Linked DNA regions of Xenopus tropicalis. The protein of the gene in region 1 binds, or shares a complex with, the protein of each later gene. Links are inferred from orthologs where the notes say so. Each region holds a gene or a part of one and is shown in the gene's direction. Other genes may lie near its edges.

What was found. The genes of interacting proteins can lie anywhere in the genome.
Region 2: bnip1 (region 1) and bet1l share a complex: the UniProt entries of both Homo sapiens proteins name them as parts of the SNARE complex. The link is inferred for Xenopus tropicalis from reciprocal best matches to the Homo sapiens genes BNIP1 and BET1L.

Annotation. Positions count from the first base shown.
Region 1 is NC_030679.2:43,443,659-43,448,587, reverse strand, and holds the start of bnip1 (vesicle transport protein SEC20), read left to right. Parts: upstream 1-1,457; 5' UTR 1,458-1,487; coding exon 1,488-1,571; intron 1,572-1,650; exon of another isoform or gene 1,651-1,887; coding exon of another isoform or gene 1,888-1,917; intron 1,918-2,834; coding exon 2,835-2,927; intron 2,928-4,332; coding exon 4,333-4,424; intron 4,425-4,929. UniProt on the Homo sapiens protein: As part of a SNARE complex may be involved in endoplasmic reticulum membranes fusion and be required for the maintenance of endoplasmic reticulum organization. Also plays a role in apoptosis.
Region 2 is NC_030680.2:24,001,440-24,006,425, forward strand, and holds the start of bet1l (BET1-like protein), read left to right. Parts: upstream 1-1,809; 5' UTR 1,810-1,902; coding exon 1,903-1,921; intron 1,922-2,158; exon of another isoform or gene 2,159-2,220; intron 2,221-4,165; coding exon 4,166-4,257; intron 4,258-4,693; coding exon 4,694-4,750; intron 4,751-4,986. UniProt on the Homo sapiens protein: Vesicle SNARE required for targeting and fusion of retrograde transport vesicles with the Golgi complex. Required for the integrity of the Golgi complex.

The DNA of each region.
Region 1 (4,929 bases):
TATTTCCAATATAATTAGGCAAAAATGTAATCTATAAAGGCTGGAGTAAGCATATGTCTAACATAATAGCCAGAACCTGACTTCCTGCTTTCAGCTGTCTAACCTCTTAGTTAGTCAGTGACTTTAGGGGGGCCCACATAGGACATAACTGTTCAGTTAGTTTGTGAGCAGGCAGGTCAGATTCAAATGCAAATTAACTGAACAGTTATGTCCTATATGGCCCACTCAGGTCACTGATTGGTTATTGATTGCTAACAGCTTAGAGCTGTTCTGGCTATTATGTTAGACATCTGCCCACTCCATTTTCATTTTTACACTGAACTGTTCCTTTAAGATAGTCACAAGGAAAATTATAGACTAACCAGGCAATTATTTTAAACAAAGGAGCACCGGGGGAAGAGGAAAAGGTAAAGTACTGCATGGCAGGGCAGAAGCGATAAGAGGTGGGTTGGGAACCATACAAAATAACCCCAACATTATTTAATTTACTTGTGCCAAGAATAACTTTCTTCAGTTTTAGAATAATACAGCAGTGAATCATCAAGCAGCATTTACTTTTCTGGTCTTTAAAATTAATTATCTGATTGGTTACTAGGGGTATTTTTGTAATGAAAAAATGCAGAAAGTTGGCCAGTCATGTTTGTGCCCAGATGTGCAGCTTTCAGCCCCAGAAACATCCCTCTCAAAAGGGAGTAAAATAGATGATAGGTTCGGGACAGGTAATATTCTGAGCCCCAGATGTTGCAGAAAAACAACCACCAAAATTCTGTCCTCCCTTATCTGAACCACTGGTGGGAGCTGAGGGTTGTAACTATAGATCACTGAAGTACCATGGGCTCATGCAAAGCCTCCTATAGTTCTCCTTTCCACAGCCACATACTGCTGCCCTTACTGTACTGTACCCTTTCCACTCATACCCCGAAATATCTATTATTTTTATTATTAACAAGCATTTATAAAGCTCCAACATATTCTGTGTTTATGTACAGCAAAAAAGGGTCTCTAATGTCATTCAGCAGGAAACCCCATAGTCCAGTCTAAGCCTGTTTACATTTGAAGTTGACTGTTCACTTGCTTTAAGGGTGAAGACACACAGAGCTACTTAGTAGCAGCTAATTGTCACAGCTACTAAACGCCAGAAAATACCCTGACATAGACAATACTGAGAATTACCTCTGCCACATAGAGACAATTAACAGTAAATGATCAGCATTGTCTATTTCTGTAGCCGTGACAAGTAGCTGCTACTAGTAGCTCAGTGTGTCTTCACCCTAACACCCCTTTGAACTGAGCAGAACGTTTCTTATTGTGTGCGTTTTCCCAAAAGCACCTCTAGATGTCTCTGTGCCCCCTCATCGCTGTCCATACGAGCAAAGAAATTACCTCTCCATACAGCAGATGGCGCAAAGGTTTATTTTTGTCTTAGTCAGAGTCATCGGTGCATGGTATTTTGTCCCATTCCGCGCACCGTTGTTAAGCCTGTCGCGATGGCAGATTCGCAGGATGTCCACGTCCGAATTTGTCACCAGGAAATCGTTAAATATGACCTGGAGATCAAAGCGCTGATCCAGGTAACGCAGTGGGGTGCTGAAGGGGTGATCGCCATTAATAATACTGACTTTCTACATGCAGGAGGCAGTAGGGAATTCAGCTTACCATTAAGGGTCCGAGTTTGTAATATTCCCTATGCAACGCCACCTAGCGGCAGGCCGAGCTTACGTACCAGTTCCGAAGACTCCAAACTCAATGGTTTATGTTTGAATGCGGACTGGTGTAGCGTTACCGGCATGTACTGATAGTTCCCTACGGTCACAGCCTACTGTATGGTTTGGTTAACAGAGCCTGGCAGTTTTATTTTCCTAAATTATTACATGGGCTTCCTGCTACATGTTCCATGTACTGCACCCTAACAGTTATGTAGGTATAATACATTTAACTGGCTGATAACTGAAATAGCTATAATGCTTTCCCAGCTAATGAGCAGTGCTGCTATCAGTACTCATAGGCTCTATACTACTGAGTTAGCAGGGGGCCTCAAGTTTAACCCTCAAGTTTAACCCTTCTGTCATCTGGGCCATTATGAACCAGAATTAACACTGACATTAGTTGTTACCAGTGGCATAAAATAAGGTCAGGCTTCCAAGCAAAAGACTTTTCCGGGCCCTCACATGTTGGGGTGAGAGCCACTTACACCCTCGGCCACATAGTGACCACCACCTTCGCCTCCATGCTTGCAGAGCCAGAAGTAGCTGTAACCATACAGCAGGCCATCTGGATATCTGTATGCTAGTTAGCCAGTGAATGTTAGTATATCTTAACCAAAATGTCAAAATATCAGCACCCAGTAATCAAGTCTTTGTCACCAGTAATATCTTTGTATAGAATAACTTCCTAAAGCTGATACCTCAAGAGAACTGAATCCAAGTGATTTTGGTCACACTTATGGCACACCAAGCCTGGGATTCAAAATAGGCCCTGGCACTTCAAGTACACAATGTCCCAAACAGTGTCTGTCTATGGCTTCTTACAGCAGCCCCTCTGGCATTTGCCAGAATCCACAGATTGCCAATCTGGGCTTTTTGCACACCCAACCACAATTTATTATGCCTTGACTACACCCACTTACAACCCAACTTTATCCTTGGCTGGAGGCTGGTGGTTACTACCAGCATATTAACTGTCATTTTTTAATGACGTTTGCTAGGCATCTCATGTGCCACTATGTCATTTCAGTTTGGGAACAGCACAGCAGATGGTACTTTCTCATTGGATCCTTATCCCCCTAGCTCTTCTGTATTGTATGTAGACGTTTTAAAATGATTTGTCTTTTATAGGACATCAGAGAATGCCCTGGTCCTCTAAGCACCCTAAATGATTTCAATGCTCAAGTCAAGGAAAAATTCCACCTGCTGAGGCTGAGAATACAGGTACATTGTGTAATTTAGTAAAGACATTGCATTTTTGAGGGAAAAACTGGCTAGGTAATTAGAAATTCTTAACCACAAGAGAGGTTGATAATAAGTAATTGGGGCCTCTGCCCTATGATTAAACTATATTTTAAAACATTAAAAGTCCATTTACTGCCTATAACAGGGATCCCCAACCTTTTTTACCCGTGAGACACACTCAAATGTAAAAAGAATTGGCAACACAAGCATGAAAAATGTTCCTGGGGTGCCAAATAATGGCTATAATAGGCTATTTGGTAGCCCCTATGTGGACTGGCAGCCTACAGAGGCTTTGTTTGGCATTATATTGGGTTTTTATGCAACCCAAACTTGCTACCAAGCCAGGAATTTAAAAATAAGCCCTTGCTTTGAGGCCACTGGGAGCAACATCCAATTGTTTGGGGAGCAACATGTTGCTCATGAACCACTGTTTGGGAATCACTGGCCCATAATATTGGGAGCCCTCAAAGCAAAGCATATTATTCGCTCAGAGTTTTTTTCTAAGCACTTTTGCAAAGTACATTTTTTCTACTTTCTCAGTTATTAGAAGTTATTTGAAGTGCTGATTATTTTAGGCCAATGGGCTAAAAGTGGCTAAAAATGAATTTCCTGAGAAAAGAAACATTTTAAGGTGTTGCTCTCCCTAGAACTGATCACAGAAACACCAGAGACTCCACTTTCTAAGCAGAGCATCATTACAAAATGTTTCTTATCTCAGGCAATTCATTTTTAGCCAACAGTAGCCAGTCACAGTAGCCAGCCAGCTGAAATATCCAGCAGGTGGCGCTGTTGTTTCAAATATGTTATATTAGCCCAGTGATCCCCAACCAGTGGCTCGGGGGCAACATGTTGCTCCCCAACCCCTTGGATGTTGCTCTCAGTGCCCCCAAACCAGGTAGTTATTTTTGAATTCCTGACTTGGGGGCAAGTTTTGGTTGAATAAAAACAAGATTTCCTACCAAATAAAGCCCCTGTAAGCTGATAGACTGCATAGAGGCTCCCTAATAGCCAATCACAGCCCTTATTTGGCACCTCCGTTAACTTTTATGGTGCTTGTGTTGCTCTCCAAGTCTTTTTACATTCGACTGTGGCTCATGAGTAAGATAGGTTGGGGATCCCTGTATTAGCCATTTCAAAACAGCTAATCTCTTTAAAACTAAAATAAAAATAATTAAAAGTAGTTCTAAGAGTACTTTGCACAATTTTATAGTCATTTGTCTTGATGGATTACAGTACTTGTTTACTTGCTTGGATTTACAAAAAAAAAAAAACATTTTTGCATGAATCATTGCTCATCACCAAAAGTGATCACCTTTAAAGTCATCCAGGTAATAGTTTTCTAAACCTATAATTGGTGATATACTTCTTTGTTATTTTGGAAAAGGATTTTGAACAGTTGGCTAAGGAGCAGGATAAGGAATCTGACAAGCAAGCATTGCTGAAGGAGATGGAGTGCCACAAGAAACAGATGTTAAGGTGTGTATGGTCTGCTGCTTACATCTTGAGCTGTGCGAAAAATGGCCCCATAGCTTAATAAATAAATGTTATATAAAACAGGTGAAGAACTTTTCTTGCTTGCCTCTCAATATGTTTACAACACAAGGTTAATCAATATTGCTCTGTAGTTGTCCTACAAAGCTGTCCTGCAGTTGCTCATACATGTTTTGGCTGAGACATACTCTCTCTCTGCTTTCCCATTAGCCCACATGTTGCTGGGTGAATTCTAAGCTCCCCAAGGGAATTGTTGGTCAGTGACCAGTACTACACACAGTTCTACTTTAGTGAAAGGTGGCTTTGTGGTATTTTGCTGTGCTAATTAAGGCTGGGAATCTTTGTCAGAGACCCAACATCATGGGGAACAACCCCATGCCTACCTTCAGCACCTTGACCATGTTGTGCTGACTCTGAACTTTGCACCCCTTTCTCGGTAACTAGTATGAATGACTAGTGGCCCTATTTTAATGCTTCTTACAAATAGGGA
Region 2 (4,986 bases), on another chromosome or scaffold:
CCAATCACTCCTAGCTTTATTAGTTTTAAAGTGCAGAACTACAATATCCAGAATCCTCTGAAAGTCTCTTCCTGTTGTATCATGTAGTCAATATTCCTTCTAATAAATGCACACAAATTGTGGCTCAAACAAAGTATTTTGGTACATTTTCAGAATCCCCCACCTCATACAGTGATCCCCAACCAGTGGCTCGGGGGCAACATGTTGCTCCCCAACCCCTTGGATGTTGCTCTCAGTGCCCCCAAACCAGGTAGTTATTTTTGAATTCCTGACTTGGTGGCAAGTTTTGATTGAATTAAAACAATATTTAGTACCAAATAAAGCCCCCTGTAAGCTGATAGTGTGCATAGAGGCTACCTAATAGCCAATCTTAGCCCTTATGCGGTCCCCGATCCGACTAAATTTTTTAAACTGCCCGATCGATATCTGCCCGATTTCAGGCCAGGTATCGGTCAGGCAGGCCCGTCGTTATTGCCCCAACATGGGCCGATGAGCTGCTGAAACGGTCTAAGGGACCGATATCGGCAGCTAGTATCGGCCCGTGTATGGCCATCTTCAGGCGGTACATGGTATGAGATTAGACTGCATGTTGGTATCTAAGGTAAAAGACAGACAGGACAATTAAAAACACAATCACCGAAACTAATCGACATAATGGATATTTCCATACATGAACATACAGGTCGCCGCCTGTGGAATTTGCTGTATGGGACAAGTCAGCATTGTTATAGCCACAGTAGTCACATTAGTCACGGTGACTAATCGCCCTGATTTCCAACACCAGCACTAAGACATACTTTAAAGAACAGTAACACCAAAAAAATGTATGTATCACAGTAGTCACTATATTTTGTACCATTGCCCTGCACTGGTAAGTTGTGTTTGCATTAGAATCTCAACTATATTTTATATAAACAAAGCTGTATCAAACTGAAATAAGGCTAAGGGCTCTGGCACACGGGGAGATTAGTCACCTCGCGAGTCTTTTTCGGCGATTTCGTGAAATCGCGCCGCCGCGTGTGCCATCCCGCCGGCGACTTACATGTTCACATGTTCGCTCATGGCAACTCGGGGAGATTAGTCGCCCGCGAACAGGGAGTTTTGTCGCGGGCGACTGATCTCCCCGTGTGCAAGAGCCCTAATTGACACAGGTTACACAGCTGATAATAGATAAGCAGTGTAGTTTCCCATTGTATTCTAGAGAGCTTATCAGTTTTTTGTCTTTTGTCCTCTTTTTTTTTTGCCACCTTTTCTGAAAATAAATACCGGCCTTCCTATATTTTTATCTTTTTTTTCTAATAATAACATTGGCACTAAGCATCATTTTTACCAGACAGGTGGCAACCATAACCCCAGGGCTACACAGCAGCTTTGTATATATAAACTAGAGTAGGGTTTATGAAGTAAAAGAACTTTTACTAGTGCAGGGAAACAGTACATTATATTTTAATTACTTGAAATAATTTTCATTTTTTGGTGTCGCCATTCCTTAAAGCACTGGAAGCCTTTTTTGTCACAAACTACATTGAGAGAGGCTCCAAATTGGAGAATATGTGGGGGGAGTATTGAGCTGTAATGTGTAATCTGCTTCCACTGTTTTTGTTGGACCACAAATCCCAAGATCCCCCAAGAGATTCGCCATGTGGGGCGGAGCTAGCCACAACACACAAAGTAGGAGAAGCAAAAGGAGTGCACGTTTCACTTTATTTTTTTTATATTAGGATAATTCGGATAAACTGCTTCCATGGCAACAGCGAACGCCTAAACATTAATAGGCGTGGCTTAATGAGACAGTCCGTCCTTTCTTGACGCACTGACGCAAGGTTGAAGCGTATTGGTGGCTGTGAGGGTGACGTTAGTGACGTGTAATATCCTGCCGCGTCACATTTAGAAGAATCCAAGATGGCGGACTGGGGCAGAGGTACTGGGGTCTAGGGTGCTTGTGTGAGATAAATACGTGTGTTATGTAGGATATCAGTGCTCCCTGAATGCCGAGAGAGTGGGGGCAGCGGCCTGGCAAACAGAGAAGGTGTTTGCGTGGGATTCGCTCTGGGATATTAAGCGTAAAGCAAAGGAACTGAGAGGGAATCTATGCTGGAATTAATGTTTGGGGGCGGTACTCTGTCCTGGGTGGGGCTCTATGCTAGGGGTGGTCTCCATGGGGGCTGTATGGGGAAGTACTCTGAAGGCCTTTGGTGGGTGATTTCTCTGTTAGGGAAGGTCAGTATGGGAATGTGCTGTATACTCTGTACTACACAGTGTTCAGGGTGCGGGGGTTCTACTCTGTGTAGACTGAGACTGTTCTAGGAGTCATTAGAGAGTCGTGGGGGTCTCTAGTATAGTGTTGCAGTCTGTACCAGTCTGTATAGTGTTGCAGTCTGTACCAGTCTGTATAGTGTTGCAGTCTGTACCAGTCTGTATAGTGTTGCAGTCTGTACCAGTCTGTATAGTGTTGCAGTCTGTACCAGTCTGTATAGTGTTGCAGTCGTACCAGTCTGTATAGTGTTGCAGTCTGTACCAGTCTGTATAGTGTTGCAGTCTGTACCAGTCTGTATAGTGTTGCAGTCTGTACCAGTCTGTATAGTGTTGCAGTCTGTACCAGTCTGTATAGTGTTGCAGTCTGTACCAGTCTGTATAGTGTTGCAGTCTTACCAGTACCAGTCTGTATAGTGTTGCAGTCTGTACCAGTCTGTATAGTGTTGCAGTCTGTACCAGTCTGTATAGTGTTGCAGTCTGTACCAGTTCTGTATAGTGTTGCAGTCTGTACCAGTCTGTATAGGTGTTGCCAGTTGCTGTACCAGTCTGTATAGTGTTGCAGTCTGTACCAGTCTGTATAGTGTTGCAGTCTGTACCAGTCTGTATAGTGTTGCAGTCTGTACCAGTCTGTATAGTGTTGCAGTCTGTACCAGTCTGTATAGTGTTGCAGTCTGTATAGTGTTGCAGTCTGTACCAGTCTGTATAGTGTTGCAGTCTGTACCAGTCTGTATAGTGTTGCAGTCTGTACCAGTCTGTATAGTGTTGCAGTCTGTACCAGTCTGTATAGTGTTGCAGTCTGTACCAGCAGTCCCCAGTGTGAGGGGAGTTGGAGATCTCTCTGCTCGTTACTGGGCTGGGGAAGTGTATTAGTGTTGTGCGTGGGTACGGCACCATAAGCAATGATTTCCTGTACTTATAATAATAATATTATAATAAGCACACATTTGGGTGCCTCTCTCTTCTCTTGTTGATATCTGAGGGGCTGTTGTAATAATTTCAGACATAATAGGGGTGGGGGAGGGTTTCATAGGGCTCCAGGTTACTTTCTTAGTGCGTTATAGTCGGCTCCTTGAAGGGGAATTGCTATAAACTTAGCAGTCTCTGAGCACTTTTGCAGTGTGCATTGATTTTCTAGTTTTAATGGTTTGTGAGTCAGTAGCAGATACGTGCTGCCAGGAAGACCTCGGCTCATCAGCTCTCTTTGAATGCCCGAAAAGACTGTGGCCCTGACTGTCTATGCATTTGTAGTTTCTTTTAACCCTGGGGTTTCTGAAATGAATGTATATTGCAAAAAGGCCCAGAGAAACTCTGCCCATATGTGACTATGGCCATATCGCACTAGGATCTGCCTTGCCATGGCCAGATATATATTGATATATATTGAAATTGGCTTTATTGATTATGTTAAATGCACGTCACACATGAGGACTTTAGTCTGGGGATGTGTTTGTGCATTAGGTGAGACAGCAGTCGGGCATCCTGGAAATCCCTTCTTACATCCTGACAGTCTCATTCTAGTTTCCACTCTCGTGATTCAGGGCCGGCACCACTGTCCCTTCCCCGCGTTGTTGGGCCGGCACCACTGTCCCTTCCCCGCGTTGTTGGGCCGGCACCACTGTCCCTTCCCCGCGTTGTTGGGCCGGCACCACTGTCCCTTCCCCGCGTTGTTGGGCCGGCACCACTGTCCCTTCCCCGCGTTGTTGGGCCGGCACCACTGTCCCTTCCCCGCGTTGTTGGGCCGGCACCACTGTCCCTTCCCCGCGTTGTTGGGCCGGCACCACTGTCCCTTCCCCGCGTTGTTGGGCCGGCACCACTGTCCCTTCCCCGCGTTGTTGGGCCGGCACCACTGTCCCTTCCCCTTCCAAAAAAGAAAAACCTGCCATTCAGTTGCTCTTTGTTTTTTTTACAGGGCCAAATTCAGGAGCAGTGGATGAGATGTTGGATGCAGAGAACAAACGGCTGTCAGAAAATCTTTCTTCGAAGGTGACCAGGCTGAAATCAGTAAGTAGGAGTGGTAGATATTCTACAGGAATAAATAACTGATGTGTAGGCCTCTATTCACAGCGCCTTTCTCTTTTGCCTCTCTAACAATTCCTACTATATGCATAAAGTACAGGGCACTTCTGCCTCTCTAACAATTCCTACTGTATGCATAAAGTACAGGGCACTTCTGCCTCTCTAACAATTCCTACTGTATGCATAAAGTACAGGGCACTTCTGCCTCTCTAACAATTCCTACTATATGCATAAAGTACAGGGCACTTCTGCCTCTCTAACAATTCCTACTGTATGCATAAAGTACAGGGCACTTCTGCCTCTCTAACAATTCCTACTGTATGCATAAAGTACAGGGCACTTCTGCCTCTTTTGCCTGGGCTCTGTTCCTGCATAATCACTCGGATATCACAATCTGTTCCTTTTTTTTTTTTTTTTACAGCTTGCACTGGACATTGACAAAGAGGCTGATGACCATAACAAGTACCTGGATGGCATGGTAAGACTCTATAGATACTTCGAATCCCTGTACAAAACAGTCTGTTCATTATCTGTTGTGTGTGTATATATATATATATATATTTATAATAATTATAGTAAAGGTTTAGGATCTGTTATCCAGAATGTTAGTGACATTTTGTTTTCCATAATTTAGAACACCTTAAGGCTACTACAGAAAATAAACATAATATAAACACAAGGATAGTTTAATTAGCATCAATTACAGAGACAAAG